Caenorhabditis elegans: one gene and its partner. The protein of the gene in region 1 interacts with the protein of each later gene in a pairwise test. Each region holds a gene or a part of one and is shown in the gene's direction. Other genes may lie near its edges. The genes, in order: pcmd-1 and fbxa-171.

Evidence for each region.
Region 2: the proteins of pcmd-1 (region 1) and fbxa-171 interact in a two-hybrid assay, tested with the Caenorhabditis elegans proteins (one large-scale study listed by BioGRID).

The regions. Positions count from the first base shown.
Region 1 is NC_003279.8:11,603,964-11,613,816, reverse strand, and holds pcmd-1 (PeriCentriolar MatriX Deficient), read left to right. Parts: upstream 1-2,502; 5' UTR 2,503-2,515; coding exon 2,516-2,608; intron 2,609-2,660; coding exon 2,661-2,924; intron 2,925-2,974; coding exon 2,975-3,064; intron 3,065-3,165; coding exon 3,166-3,305; intron 3,306-3,599; coding exon 3,600-3,739; intron 3,740-4,371; exon of another isoform or gene 4,372-4,502; intron 4,503-5,966; coding exon 5,967-6,167; intron 6,168-6,805; coding exon 6,806-6,910; intron 6,911-7,180; coding exon 7,181-7,379; intron 7,380-8,545; coding exon 8,546-9,206; 3' UTR 9,207-9,790; downstream 9,791-9,853. Other genes in the region: dhhc-7 (Palmitoyltransferase), read right to left, coding at 164-257, 625-824, 1,701-1,814, 1,999-2,111.
Region 2 is NC_003283.11:17,562,049-17,569,005, reverse strand, and holds fbxa-171 (F-box domain-containing protein), read left to right. Parts: upstream 1-3,002; coding exon 3,003-3,319; intron 3,320-3,362; coding exon 3,363-3,443; intron 3,444-3,782; coding exon 3,783-4,407; intron 4,408-5,604; coding exon 5,605-5,796; downstream 5,797-6,957.

The DNA.
Region 1 (9,853 bases):
TTTAAGCTCAAAAATTGGCAATTTCACATATTTTTTTTTCCACTTAAAATCCTAAACAATTAGAATTTTTCTCGAATTCTGAGGAAAAAACACAATTATACAGCTGAAACTGGTGCTACAGTAACCCCGCCGGTGGGTCTCGCCACGAAATCTGAAAACTTACAGTAAAGAGTATGCACTTGAGGCTCCCACGTAGAAAATGAATTGGAGAAACCATTTTTGATTGTATTCGCCGACGCAATTGTTCACCCAGGGGCCTAAAAATCGAAAAATTATTTTAGCGTTTTGGCACAGTTGAAATCAATGCTACAGTAACCCGCGCGGTGGGTCTCGCCACGATTTGCCCGAAAAATTCTCGATTTTTAGCGCATTTTTATCGCTAAAAAATTCAAAAAAATCTCTAAAATCCCCTTTTCACTGCTATGTCGTGGCGGGACCCAACAGGGTTACTGTAGCTTTAGCTTCAGCTGTGTCAGCGGTGAAAATCTCTAATTTTCACAGATTTCAGTCATTTTGAAGGCAAAAATGTCTATTTTAGGTGGTTTTTTTGGTGAAAATTAGTGAAAGTTTCGATTTTCAGCCGATTCGGGCTGTTTTTTTCATTTTTAGCGCCGAAAAACGAACAATGATGGTCCATTTTCCTGACACAACGCTTGCAAACTCTGCAATGATGAGCTCTCGGTGGCCTTAGAGAATCACAACGTGTACACATTGTCCACTCAGTTGCAGATGAACGATTCAGGTGATCGTGACGAAAAACGGCTTCTTCATCGGATTCATCTTCCTCATCTGATGAAAATACCGGATTCGGAGTGTTTTGGCCTCTGGAAATGCGGAAAATTCGGTGGAAAACGGTTAAAAATAACGCGCGAAAATCGATAAACACAGCTGAAACTGGGGCTACAGTAACCCGGGGTGGGTCTCGCCACGATTGGGGGTACTGTAGCACTTGTTTCAGCTGTGTTTATCGATTTTTCGGCTATTTTAGCAGAATATTAGATTTATTTTGAGTTGAAACATTTTTTTTAAGAATTCGGAGAAAAATGCGATTACACAGCTCAAACCGGAGTTACAGTAACCCGCGGTGGGTCTCACCACGATTAGGGGTACTGTAGCACTTGTTTCAGCTGTGTCAGAGCTAGAAAATAGCAATTTTTACACTTCTTTTTAACAAAAAGTTACCAGTTGGCACGTTATTTTAATGAAAACCTTTTTTTTTTAATTTCGAAAAAAATTTGCTTTTATGTCTATTTTTAGTAAAAGTTTTGTTTTTTTTTCTTGAAAATTCCACTAATGTCATCGATTTTAGTGAAAAATCGATAAACACAGCTGAAACTGGGGCTACAGTAACCCGGGGTGGGTCTCGCCACGATTGTAGGTACTGTAGCACTTGTTTCAGCTGTGTTTATCCATTTTCGGCTATTTCAGCTGAAAAATAGATTTTTTTTTGAGTTAAAAACCAAAAATTTTCGAGAAAAAATGCAATTACACAGTGGAAACTAGGGCTACAGTAACCCGAGGGTACTGTAGCACTTGTTTCAGCTGTGTCGGGACACAATATCCCTTAAAATTTCCATTTCTGAGCCAGAAAACCCGAGATTTTGATCATTTTCAGGACAAAAACCTTCGGAAAATCGAAATTTCCCATTTTTTTCCCAGTTTTCCGTCAAAATTCCCTCTTTTCGTGGTAAGACCCTCACTTTGACGAGGAAATCGGCACAGTTCCCGGGTCGGACAACATTGCTCGTGTGTGAGCTACAATCGTCGTTGCCAGCAGGCAATTGAAGACGGCTCCGTGGAAAACTGTCCAAATTCTGGAAAAAATAGCGATTTTTTGTGGAAAATTAGCGTTTTTAGCCAAAAATCAGTGACTTTTGGGGTGAATTTCGCATTTTTATTTCAATTTAATTGTGCCATGATGCTCAAACCCAGAAAAAAATGGGGGGAAATATTGGTGAAAATCCGAAAATTCGTCAATTTTTCTCCACAAAAACCTACGAGTGCCCGAAAGTTGGCAGCAAAAGCCAAATAAGAATCACATAATCCGCATATGCAATCAGTAGATAGATCATGCACACACAAACGAGCCCGCACGGATCCCATTTGAACATTTTCCGGCTCTATTCTCGGTTTAATGTGGCATTTCTGCAAAATTTCCAGATTAGTTGGGGGAAAATGTTATTAAATGTTGAAAAATCGATAATTTGAAATTCATTTTATTGATTTTTATCACAAAATTCGTTGGGTTACTGATAAAAATCAATAAACAACGATGAAAATCCGTGGAAATGATTGATAAATTAAAGGCGCATGGATTTATACGAGTGGTGGGTCTCGCAACGACGACCCCTTGGCACGTTGCCAAGTGCCGCCAAACGGCGGTTTTTTGATTTTAATTTCCGTTTTTTGTGGTTTTTCGTGGATTTTCTTTGATTTTCTTCGATTTTTCTATTCAAAAATGATTTTAAATAAAATTTCGACACTTAAAATCAATATTTTCAGCAAAAAATCCACTATGGAGGTGGAATACGACGAGGGATTCGACTCCAGTTCGCTGAAGAATAATCCCGCCTCCCTCCAGCGGGATTATCCGACTTTTATGGAATCGGTATATTGATTTTCCTTATTTTCCAGCAAAAACTCTCAATTATATCATTTAGAATTGCTCGCAAATGTCCGTAAGACAGGAATTCCTGCCAATATTCCCACAAAGACTGGATTTATGTCAGATTTCGCCGAAAAAGAGCGAAAAAAAGTCGAAAAAGAAGAAGATTCCGAGCCCGATTAAGAAGACGAATGACACTAAATTGTCAATATTAAGCGAAAAATCGGAAATTCGCTCGGAAAAACACAAAAATAAGTGTAAAAGTGCGGATTTGGACGCAATGGAGAAGAATTTTAAAGAATTACTCGAAAATTTCAGTGTACGGGGAGAAAAATGGCGTTTTTCAACCCAAAAATTTCGATTTTTCAGAAAAATGCCGCTCTCAGCAACAGTTTAAGAGATGAAGCTTCATCGATCATAAGCTCATCGGCTTCTTCACAAAAATCTCTGTTTAAAGAGGTAAAATATGTGTTTTTTTGTTGAAAATTCACTTAAAAATCGTATTTTTTGCCTAAAAACCCCTTTTTTTTTTCATAAAAAAAAAAGATTTTTCTCTTCAGATCAACCTTGCCAAGAAGCTCTCCGCGAGTTACTCGAAAAAACCCGAAAAAACTGGCGAAAAATCGAAAAATTGCACGTTTTCGGATAGTACCTTCCGTTTGAGCAGCCAAAATGACTCGGACAGTGATGATACGAGGCCGTAAGTGAAGAAAAATCGAATTTTACACGAGAAACTATTGAAAAATGCGAAAATTTATCGATTTTCCATACAAAAAAGTTGAAATCCGAGTTTTTGAACCCAAAAAATGTGAAAATTGATTAATTTTCCACTCAAAATCTGAATTTTTTCGTATTTTCACCGGAAAAGCTCCAGAAAAATTAAATTTTCAGTTTAAAATCGCTAAAAACCTTTAAAAAAATCGATAAAAAGCTATTTTTTTGCAAAATTGCTTTAGAAAACGTGAAAATCGCTGCTGAAAATGTATTTTTCCAGGCCTTCAAGTCAAGCTTCACTGGCCTTCGAAGTGGAACAAGCTCGAAATATGATGATGTCATCGGCTAAAATTCCGAAGCCTCTGAGCTCATCGACACCGCGCAAAGAACGACGAACAACTGGAACGAACAGCGATTCCAGTAATATTTTCGGCCGAAAATTCTGAAAATTGGGCTTTTTGCTCAGAAATTGCCGAAAAATCGGAGAAAACTCGAATTTTTAAGCTTAAAATTACAATTTTGAAGCCAAAATCCGTGAAAATCATCTGGAAATTTTGGCATTTTTATCCGGAAATTTCCGAAAAATCGTTGAAAAAAGCAAATTTAATGTTTTTGCCTTGAAATATCCGAAAAATAAAAAATAAAACTTGAATTTTCAGATAAAATTTTGGCAAATCTAAAAATTTTCAAGCCAAAATGTGGAAATTTTGACCTTTTTACCCGGAAAGTTCCGGAAAACAGTGAAAATTTTGAGTTTTCTCCAAAAAATTCTGAAAAAAGGAGCATTTTAAAGCTAAAACCTGGAAATTTGACCTTTTTACCTTGAAATTACCCTAAAATCGTAGAAAAAAGGCAAAATCTATAGAAAATCGCCGAAAAACCCATAGAAAACTTGAATTTCGAGCCGAAACTTGGATATAAATATGTTTTACGAGATTCTCAACGGAGCGCACTTGCTTCCAACGAAAAAAAAAACCCTAAAAACTTTGGATTTTCAGTATTTTATCAGTAGAGCGCATTTCAAAAATCCCTTTATTTCGTGGGTCCCGTCTAAGCTTCAGTCTTTAATTTAAGTTCACACTGTGAGGATTACGGTAGCTACAGTAGTAGCTACAGTAACCCTCAATTCAAATAAGATCAGTTTGTAGTAAGTTGTGTATTTCGCAGAGAACATCATTAGCCACGAGACGGGCGGTGTGGAAGGAAACTGAACACAGGCGGTGAGGTCTTGATGCCTGTGTTACTAGCCACTAGGCCACGGTGTAGGGGGTCTCTAGGTACATGCTATGCAGGTTTATGTGTTAGATGGAAAGGGTTGACAGAGTGTAATGGGGGAATTCACTGAGTAGCGACTTGTGTGACCTCAGTGTGTCTTTTTCAATGGTCTCGACACGGAAATCGATTTTTTTTTCCCAAAAAAATCAAAGTAACGAATTGTGGCATCTGTGTAGCTTTGCCCAATGAAAAGTATGAATAAATGTTGAGTTCCGCGTGAAAATCGCATTTTTCATACTTTTCATGTGCAAAAGAGCACATTTGTCACCGGAGACGGGGAACCTCTGCCCAAATTTTCATTTTAATAGTTAATTTAGTGAGATTTTTGTGAAATTATCTGAAGAGTGATAAAAATTTGGTCCAAAACTGGCAAATTTCACGAATTAGCGTTTTTGGTTAGAATTTTTGCGGAATTGTGAGCATTTTTTTTAAAGAAAAATGCAACTATTTTTGCTCGGAAAATCGAGTTTTCGGAAATTGCACTGCTATGTGGCATCTGTGTATCTTACTACAGCAATCCGTGGGTCTTGACACGAAAATCGGAAAAAAAAAATCAGAAAAACGACTTGTGACATCTGTGTTGCTTTGCCCAATGAAGAGTATGAATAAATGTTGAGTTATTCTGTGAAAATCGCGTTTTTCATACTTTTCATGTGCAAAAGTGCTCATTTGTCACCGGAGACGGGGAACCGCTGCCCAAATTTTCATTTTTTGTATCAAATTTTGATAAATTGGCAGAAAAGTGCTGAAACTTTGGTTCAAAACTAGCAAATTTCACGAATTAGCGTTTTTTTTTTTGCTAATGCTGTAAAATTTTGATAATTTTAAAAATTCATGTATATTTTTTAGAAACTGCTAGTTTTTTTTTTCGAAATTACAGGGAATCAGCTTTCAAGTTTTTTAGTCCCAATCAAAAAAGCGAAAATTTAAGCCCCATATTGATCTATTTTGATGAAAATCGGTTTTTTGAGCTCCGCGAGCCCTGAAAATGCTCGAAATTTGATTTTCACCGAAACAGGCCGATATGGCTTAAGATTTCGGATTTTTGCGGGGAATTCAAATTTTTTAGTCCCAATCAGCAAAAATCGGTAGGAAAATTGCATTTTTCGCAAGAAAATTACAAAAATTTAAGATTCTCTCGAAAAATTGATAAAAACCCAAATTTTCCAGCAATCTCCGTCATTTCGGCTGAAAAACGATATCTAAAAAAAAATTCGCGACTTGTGGCATCTGTGTAGCTTTGCCCAATGAAAATTATGAATAAATGTTGAGTTCCACGTGAAAATCGCATTTTTCATACTTTTCATGTGCAAAAGAGCACATTTGTCACCGGAGACGGGGAACCGCTGCCCAAATTTTCATTTATTTTCAGTTCGTCTCTCCGAATCACAGCTCGTGGAGCTCTACTCGAATCGAGAGCCGCGAAATTCGAAATCTGACATCACAATTCGACAATTTTTCGACGAGGAGGATGACGCTGATAAAACGATTGTCGAGCAGGTTTTCAAGGATTATCACAGGAGTTTGGAGAAGGAAACTCCGATTATGAGAAATTCGGCGACGGATACATCGGGTAGGGAGAGGAACTACAGTAATCCATGGGTCTTGGCACGAAAATCTGGAAAAAATGGAGAAAAACAACTAGAAAACGTTTATTTTCAAGTTTTTAGAATAATCGTTTTTTTTTATCCAGAACAAATCTTAAATAAAAATTAGGCAGGAACTACAGTAATCCATGGGTCTTGGCACGAAAATCTGGAAAAAATGGAGAAAAAAAAATTAAGAAACATTGATATTCAAGGTTTTTTTGAAAAATAATCGATTGAAAAAAGATTTTTCATGTTTTTCACATTTTTTTTTAATAAAAAAGTAATCCTGAAATATTTTCAAATAAAAATTAGGTAGGAACTACAGTAACCCAAGGGTCTTGTCGCGAAAGTTTGCAAAAATTTCAAAATAACGACTTGTGGCATCTGTGTAGCTTTGCTCAATGAAAAGTATGAATAAATGTTGAGTTTTTCGTGAAAATCGCATTTTTCATACTCTTCATGGGTAAAAATGCACATTTGTCACCGGAGACGGGGAACCTCTGCCCAAATTTTCATTTTTTCGAATAAATGTGGCTAATTACACTAATCCCCTCCTTTTACACCGTCCTACCCCCATAATTATAGGCTCTCGGAGCAATTAAATGCTCGGTTTTTTTTCCAGGATCTCTACATATTGAACGAAATCGTGACGGACGGTCGGCTTCGATGAGCAATCTGATTTCGAATAGTGGAAATCGTACGAATTTGACGGTTTTTGATGGATTTGGTAGGTTTTTTGGAGCTGAAAATGCTGGAAAATTGAGATTTTTCATTAAAAAATTCATTTTTCAGATGGAAATGCTGGAAAATTGATATTTTTTGTGGAAAAAATAAGTTTTTAATCGAAAAATGTAAAAATTTCGATATTTTTCATTTAAAAAAATTAATTTTTTTTTTGCAGAAAAAACTGAAAATAGATATAATTTTTTATATTTAGATATAAAATAATTTTTTCAGCTGAAAATGCTAAAAATTCCCCAAAATTCCATTTTTCCAGCTCCCGGAGCCCTCCGTCACTCGATATCCACCGTACAAATGAGCCCAACCAAAAAAAAATTCGACGAATTTCGAATTGAGCACCAAGAACCTGGCATTTTGCCAAGATTTGTCATCAAAACGTCACTGCGGCCGATTTTTTCGCCACCACTCGATATTGATGAGATTTGTGGAAAAGGACTGAGAAAAGATGCGGAAAGGTGCGAAATTCGTGCTGAAAATCGACAAAAATTGGAGTTTTTGGCTTAAAATCCGGAAATTTGTGCTCAAAATTTCGAAAAATAGTCAAAAAAAAATTCAAATTTGGAAAAATACGTTATTTTTACCCAAAAAATTGATTTTCAAGCATTTTTTCGCTTTAAAAACTTGAAAAGTGCGTTTTATGCGAGAAAAATCGATAAATTGCCGTAAAAAAGTCATTGTTGGCTTTTTAGACTGAAAAATCTAAAAATTGGGTCACAAATTTGGGAATTTCGACAAAACTACAAAAAAAATCCACTAAAAAGCGATAATTGGCTCAAAAATCGCAAAAAAAAAATGGAGAAAATGTCTGAAAATATTCGATTTCCACAATTTTGCACTGAAAATTCGAAAATTTACTAAAACTCGGTGATTGGCTCAAAAATTCACAGCTCAAAGCCAAAAAATGGGGTGCTTGGACCCAAAAATTCGAATTTTCCGCCAAAAATCCGTAATTTTAAGCTCCATATTTTTAAGCCCTATTGGTGAAAATCGATTTTTCGAGCTCCGTGAGCCCTGAAAATGCTCGAAATTCGATTTACACCGAAACAGGCCGATATGGGGCTTAAAATTCCGGATTTTTGGCGGAAAATTCGAATTTTTGGGTCCCAACACCCCATTTTTACAATTTTTTGGCTTTGAGCTGTGAATTTTGGAGCCCATCACCGAGTTTTATTAAATTTTCAAATTTTTAGTGCAAAATTGTGGAAATCGAATATTTTGAGACATTTTCTCCATTTTTTTGCTATTTTTGAGCCAATTATCAATTTCTTAGCGGATTTTTTGATAGTTTTGTTGAAATTTCCGAATTTTTGAGCCAATTTTTTGATTTTTCAGTCTGAAAAAGGCAAAAATGGCAATTTTTCGATTTTTCTCGCAAAAAAACGCACTTTTCATGTTTTTAAAGCGAAAAAATGCTTGAAAATCAATTTTTCGGGTAAAAAATAACGTATTTTCCAAAATTTGAACTTTTTGACAATTTTTTGAAATTTTGAGCACAAATTTTCGGATTTTTTAGTCCCAATCAGCGAAAATCGGGGAAAAATTGCATTTTTTGGCAAGAAAAATACGAAAATTTGCTAAAATTCTCTCGAAAAATCGATAAAAACCCCGCAATTGTTTTCAGCAATCTTCGTCATTTCGGCGGAAAAACGATATCTGCACAAATTCATGGCTCAAAACCCGTTCAGCGACGTCCCACAGTACCAAAAGCTTCAAAAACTGGCTCCGATCGTCCGACAACTGCTTCAACGGCGAAAATTGTGGAAAAACCTGAAATTCCGGTGGAAATTCCTCAAAAATTGGAAATTTCTCGGAAAATTGCGGAAAAAACTCTGAAATTGGACGATTTTCCAGTGAAAAGTTCAAATTTTTCAAATATTTCAAATTTTCAACCGCGCCGGCCACCATACTGTAGTGCCACGTCATCAGATGGCTCCGCCCATTCCTTGGCTACAGTAACCCAGCAACTCATGGGAACAGTTAAACTTTTGCATCCGGATTGGCTTGATATGCTCCGTCGACTACTGAATAATGCTCTGCCACGTGATGACGTCACTCTTTTGTTCAAATATCAAGTTTTGGCGGAAAAAGATCATTTGGAACGGAAATTTCGTGGAAATCTATCTGTGGAAGCTGAAGCTGCTGATGCTCACTTGGAGCATTTTGGGCGGATTTCGACGCTGAATCGTGTGCTCGATAGGCTCGCGGATCTCACAAATGACGGAGGACATGTGTCGAGAATTCAACAAATTAAAATTATTCATAATGCACTTTTTAAAGACTAATTTTCGCGAAAAATCGCGCCAAATTTTGAGCAAAAGCACTTTTTTCTTTTTAACTTCTTTTTAACGTAATTTTTTTTTTGGAAAAACCACCCGAAAAATTAAGATTTCAAGACTTGAAACCTTAATTTTCGAATTCTCCGTGAAATTTCCGAAATTTTAAGCCCCATATCGGCCTATTTTGGTGAAAAACGAATTTGGAGCATTTTCAGGGCTCGCGGAGCCCGAAAACTCAAATTGCTCCGAAATAGGCCGATATGGAGCTCAAAACTTTGGAAATTTTACAGAGAATTCGAATTTATCCGTTTCCAATCTCGAAAACGTCAACTTTTTTGACTTTTCTACAAAAATTTATTGAAAAATTGGTTTTAGCGTAGGAAAAATTCAAATTTCTAGCTGTTTTTTTTTTGAGAAAAATTGCAAATTTTTGTGATTTTTGCTCAAGATTGGTCTATTTTACCCCCCACATTTAATCGATTTTTTATTGATTTTTACTCGTTCAAAACGCCAATTTTAATTGTAATTTTATTGCTGGTCTAACCAATTTATTTATCGATTTTTTTGGCTCTGAAAAAGTGTACAAAATTAACTTTATTTATTTGAAAAACTAATCTATGGAGAGAGAGAGAAAAATACAAAAAAAATTCGTT
Region 2 (6,957 bases), on another chromosome or scaffold:
CGCTTGAGAGTTTTTTCGAAGTCAACGGAATATTTCCTCGTTCGGATCATGTTGAGGATACACTCGATGGATATACTTGGATAATTGAGTAATTTGTTCGAAATTCAGTGATTTCTAGGTACATCAGAGAGGAGAGAGCGGTCCGACGGGTTCTTTTTTGTGAATAGTTGAAATCAAGGAGAGTTTCAGAATAAATCTTCCGCTCATTATCGATTTTTATGCAATTTTGGTATGGATTTTTGAATAGAAATTGGATTTTAATTGATTTTTTAGGTAAAAAAAGGAATTTTGATAGAGTTTTTTGGAAAAATGGAATTTTGAAGATAGATTTTGGTATAAATTTGGTAATTTTTGATATTTTTAGACGAAATTTTTTGCATTTTTAATCGATTTTTGAACGAAAGATTACCTTTTAAACGTCGATCCTTGTCCACCGGTTCGATGCACCATGTCGAGGGCGTGTAGGATGGTAGTAGTCGGTATCGATCACGCCTCCGGTACCTCTCTCTCTCTCTCTCCGTGTGTCCCGATAAAGCATCTGAATTGTGTAAGATAAGCGGTGTATGACGAACAAAGGAATACTCAAAAACCTATTTATTATACAACCTCTCCCGTGTGGGTAGAGCAGGACTCTAAATAGGAAAAACAAGTAAAATGAGGGAAATACAGCAAAGAACATATAAGGATGATATTAGAAGTTCTTAAGATGGTGAAAAACCCTCGTCTGGCGAATATGATGGTGAAATGATGATAATGGGTCATTTAGACTGGTAATAGTTCAAACTGTTATTAAAGATATAAATCTAACGAACATGATGGTATATCTGCACGTGAGGGAAAACGATACGTGGAGATTACACCGGAATTGGTATTCAATTACGTCACAATTGACGGACATATTCGAACTCCCCGCGGGCGGTCGGTGGACTTGGCGCGATGCCAAGAAGTTAGAGACGCGTGGGTCTCGCCGCGAGCGCGCTACCATAAGGTGTTGGCGCGTGATTTGAATACGAATATTTATAGATATATTTATATCTCGGCGAATACTGAACGGATTTGAATGAAATAAAATGTAATGAAGAGATAATAATTGGAGTAATGCTCAACGGTGCGGTCGAGCTGATATAGGTTAAGAATAGTGGGCTATTCCGTAGAAACCTATATCAGAGCACTGTTAAAAAGGTTGTCGAGATTGACCTCGAAGGGCTGAATCGACAACACTAATAGAGAATATACGGTATATATAACAACTGATTGTTCCATTGTAGTAGAACTGCAGCTGTTTCTGTATTAATGTAAGAATTTTTGCTCACCTGGGAATTATTGGTGTAATTTGCATCCCCACATAATTAGTTGGTCCTCCCTAAAAAACTACGCTCTTAATTAGTAACAGTGTTTTTGCATTCAAACACAAAGATTTAAGTGATCATAATGAAGTAGAAAAGGGTTCCCAACTCTGAAATTAACAAAAACTTAATTCACTCTGCTGAAAAATTGCGAAACAACTCACGGAGATTCTGCTTTTTCTTCACATTTTTTCCATTCTCCTACTTCTAAATTTTTTTCAAGCTGATCATCCATTTTTACTAATGTTTAGTTTTTCGGATAATCTGAAAAACGAACTAAGAAAGTCGTTTCTTGCTAAATCAAAAAAATTTAAATTGGAATAAACTATTACAACGAGAAGCATTTTTTCAACGCGCTATGAGAAAACGAGTTGTCACAGCGGTTTTTTTAAAATCAATTTTATTGTTTGCGTTTTTCTGTTTGATTCTCTTTCTTAACACGGGAGATAAAAACGAAGTTGTACGACAAAGAGACTGAAGAATTGCAGAAATTCTTTTTTCATGTTCTCTGAAAAAATGATGATAAGTCGAACGAATGGAGAATGTGCGGCAAATACATACTTTTTAATGAAAAATGCAGGGAAAGTAACTCATAATATTGAATACAATTTTTAGAAAGGAGAAGATCAAAAGCCAAACTACATATGTAAAAACAAATAGACGGAACCACTTTAAAATAGTCTTTCAAAAAATAAATTGAATTGAAATCGAGAAGTAAAACCACGAAAAATACAAAAAGTCTTTACTGATTTGCCGTAGATTTGCCTGATCTTTTTGGGGTAATTTCTTCTCTTCGTATTTATATCCCTATTTGGATTGCGTGTTTTCGCCAAATACACTTGGTTTTTGATCAGAGGAGATAATATCAGTTCGTATACAACAACGCCAAGAGACTAGAGAGACTGAGGAATCAAACCAGAATTAGGTCTACCAAATTAGCAATATCAAAACTGGAACAATGTGACTTGGAAAATTAGACGAATGTGGCTAGCAATATATCACAAAAATGTTTGAAATCTTTTGTTTGTTTCAGAAAATTGTGAGAAATTTTCAAGAACGTCCATTGGGATGAAATATGCGCAAAAATGTAACTAAGATCATATTCTTACCATTTCTTATAACAATCGTCTTCCATTTTTTGGAATTTCCACTCAATGTTTGGGAAATTGGTACACCATTAATATCTGGAAAAATCTCGAAAAAGCTTGCCGGTAGGCCCATATCGCCGAAAATTTGAAAATCCTGAAAAACCCTGAGGATGGAACAGGGTGTTGTAACTATTTGAATGGGCGAGTGTCAAAGAGACGTTGGTAAAACTAATACAAACAAATTTATTTTACAGTTCATCAGCTAGAAATATATGAAGGTGGAGCAAGTAGTTGCACAGAGTTCCATTCCCCTCAGTTTGTTTCCGGATCTGCAAGGACATCTTATTTAGGCCAGTTCAAGAATGCAATTGCTGAAGGACATATAAACCCAACAAAAAAAAATGTTTTATTGCGAAACAACATGCTCGACTGTTCTCCTTTCTCTGACTAACTCTCCAGCAGTGCAAGTGCCCTCTAACTCCAATGTCAATACTGAAGAATTCGGTGAAGATATATTGCTAAGTCTAAAATTTTGATGTAATTTTTTTGCCGCGCGCATCATATCAAAATGACTTCCACCGCTCAAAAACCTTACTCCAAAACCTTCATTCGATCTTGTATTTTCTACGAAGTGCTCCAGAAAAAGACTGTGAATGAAGCCTATGAAACAATTTGCAACACCTTGAAGGAGAAGATTGCCTACAAAGAATTTGAATATTGGTTTCATAGATTTTATAATGGTAATCATGACTTGCAGGACGATAATAGGCAGATTGAAGTACGAAATTCCAATGATCTGCGTTGCTCGATCAATCCACCATCAGACGTTCCACACAAAATTTCCGAAAAAGAGTGGTGCAGGAAGTTCGTCGAATATTTTAATGGGTAAGTGCTAAGCTTCTTTACAGAAAATTTTAATGTTTTTCAGTGAGCCACAAGAACCTTCCCTGCAGAATATGCCGGAAAAAGTTTGGAATGAAATTTGTGCCAAAATGGAACTTTGCGATAGGTGAGATTTTATAAAGAAAGTATGATATTTACCGTGTGGTCATAGACTTCTATACACACCCCATGTAATTCAAAAAAGGTCCTTATGCAAAAATTGTAGCAATAAAGTAGATATGAATTATTCAGATGAGTTTTTCCATCAAAGTATTTTTTTTCATCGTCTTTTTATGAAGTTTTACAACTATAGAAACACCTTGAAATGTCTCCGAAAAAATGAATTTTGGGAAGTTTTCAAAAAACAATTAAAACAAATGTTTGACCAAAAATGTTTTTAACGATTTCTCAAATGGCATAAATTTCATCTAAAAGTCAATATGGTTTCAATCCAAAATTTTTCAAGATTCGTGGCCAGAAAAGTTTCGCGCATTCTCCGTGACAAAATTGACCAACAAGAATTTCATTTTAACGCCATGGGAATATGTTTCGAAAAAGATGAAGCAAGACTATTTTTGAACGAAAGAACCGTCAACTACTGCCCAGTACCAAACGGATGCACAATTATCTACGAGAACAGAAAAATTCAAATCAAAGGAACAGATTATCGGAAAATAGCGCTTCAAGATTTCAATACAGTAGTGACTAAAGACGCACGAACATTTTCCGTACTTTTTGAAGCACAAATGTCTGAGCAAATTCGGGAAAACATTTTCAACGATGTATTGAACGTCTTGAGATCGATGAACAAATTACGAGTCCGAAAACTAGTTTGTGAATTGAAAAACGAAGAAATCGACGCAATCCTGCCGTACTTCGAGCCTAAAACGCTCGAAGTTGTTCACTTTTTTGCCTCTTCTACAGACGGCCATAGCACAAAATTAATGGATACAGTTCAGCTGAAAAATGCAAAAGCTTTAATTTTTGACAGTGACACTTGCTCCATGAACATTGAAAAGTTCTTCCATCTAGCTTATTTTGACGTTACTGTGGATCTTTTCGCAAAAGATGATGCGATTAAAATTCGAGATGTAAGTTTTGAATGGTTCAGGGGTTAGGATTAGGCTTAGACTTAGGTTTAGGTTTAGTCTTAGGGTCAGTTCTAAGCATAATCTTATTCTAAACTCAGGCTTAGGTTTAGGCTCAGGCTTAGGCTTGGCGAGCTGACGCTTGCCAATCTAACGCTCGCCACTGACGGTATTTAGGCTCAAGAATTTCCCGTTTTTTTTTAAAATTTTTGAGAGGGTTCCAGTTGGCCGATCAACGCGAATTTTCACAGAGAGACGTATAGGTCACCAAGAAGCTTAAGTCTGAAGTTTTTGACTTAGGCTCACGCTTGAGAGTAGTATAAGTCCCACACGACACCCCCATCCCACACCAGACCCCCCTATTGACCTCTCCCAAAATGGGGTGTCCATCTATGGATGTCCATTTATGGATGGCCATCGTTTTTTATTGTTCTGTTGTATTGATCTGTTTTTTTTTTCGTTTTTTATGGAACTGTTTTTTATTAGAAAAAAATGTTGTACTGTATGGGAGAAAATCTGAAATTAAAAAAATATTTGAAATCGAGTATGTGGAATAAAATGTTTTCATTTACATTTTTGATATGTTTCATTGTGCACGCCTCCTCTCTATTACTCCGCCCCACTGCACAATCAAAAAACTCATTCTAAAGAAATTTCTTTAATAGTGCACACAGCTTTCGGATGACCTAAGTTTTCTTGCAAGCTCCATATGAAGGGCCAGGAGTTATGACTTTCAGTGTAGGGGCTTGTTGTCGTGAAAGTGTCAACTTGGATAATGATGTTCTAAATTTCTTTAGACTGACTATGAGATTTTCGATTGTGCAGTGGGGCGGAGTAATAGAGAGGAGGGGTGCACAATGAAACATATTAAAAGTGTAAATGAAAACATTTTATTCCACATACTCGATTTCAAATATTTTTTAATTTCAGATTTTCTCCCATACAGTACAACATTTTTTCCTAATAAAAAACAGTTCCATGATAAACGAAAAAAACAGATCAATAAAAAACGATGGCCATCCATAAATGGACATCCATAGATGGACACCCCATTTTGGGAGAGGTCAATAGGGGGGTCTGGTGTGGGATGGGGGTGTCGTGTGGGACTTATACTACTCTTGAGCTTAGGAGTTTAGGCTTAGGCTTAGGCATTTGCTGCAGACTTTACGCTTCAAGTATAAACAATTAACATAGTTTCAGATTTTGATGAAATCCGACACTTTCAAATATGCAAACTTCGAATCCGACGACTTCGATCCAATTGAAATTGCAAATGTATTCGTACCAGGATATCAAAGCAATCAATGGCCGATAATAAATTACACACGACACAACAAAAAATTCCTTTTGAAAATTACTCCTAATTCATTTCAAGTTAAACGGATAATATAATTTTATCGATTCGGATTTTTATAAAATAACTTTTAACTCTTTTATGTTGTAGCAATCATACATATATTTTTCAACAGTACATAAACAATACTGTTCAGCTTGTAATAGATCGAATTTGGACAATATGCTGCTCTGAGCTCCATCCAAACATTTCCTTGATTTGCTTTCGGATCTGAATATCCCAATTACTCCCTACAACCTTCACAAGACTTACAGCTCTACTAAAGCACACCAGAAGCCATGGCTGTAGAAGTGATTTCTGCCAAAGAACGAGGTTCAAGCGCATTCCTGAATTTCTAAAGTTTAACCATAGTCCAAATATCATTGTTTTTTTTATTACTCAATATCATATCTCAAATCATGATTCCCAGTTTGGAATTGATTAAACCAAAACTCAAAAGACTCAAATTCAATGACACCATTCCCAACTTTGTCGCAGAAGTTTCTATATGCCACTGTAAGCATCTTCCCGTGAAGATGCTCATAAAGGATACACGCGCGGATTGCAATTTGACTGTTTGGTATAGTTACAGCCACTTGGAATATTGGTCTTGAAATATTTGTGTTTTAAACTTATTAATTTTCAGAAGATAAGCAGTCAGAAATAATAATTGTTTTAATTGAAACGGAAATTGTGGCTATTTATGTTTTAATGAAGAAACTTCTTCTCACTCTGGAATTATTGGTGTACGATTCACGGGCATCCTTTCCGGTGAACACGACATTCCCTGAATTTTTTTTTGTTCAGCTTTAATGTTTTTCTCTCAAACCAAAATATCATTCAATGAATCATGTTTTTTGTGACTTCCAAGATATTGATTTTTCTCACTTTGAGACGAACAAAGCGTGTGGACTCTGAAACATTAAAAAAAACTAACTAATTTTGCTTGAAAATTGCAGAACAACTCACGGTGATTCAGGTGTTTTTTCACAGTTTTTCGTGGTATTTTTCCCAGAGGACTCATCCATTTTTTACAACTTCAACTATCTAAAAGAATTAACTTGTTATTGTGGACATACTGCAAAACATGCATTGCTTAAACCACGAGCAAAAATTGAAATTGAGACAATAAAAAACTGAAAAATTTTGAAGAGAAATTGAATTGAAAAAAAACTCTCCACGATGTTTATTGTAAAACAACATGTGTGTATTGAAAAAAA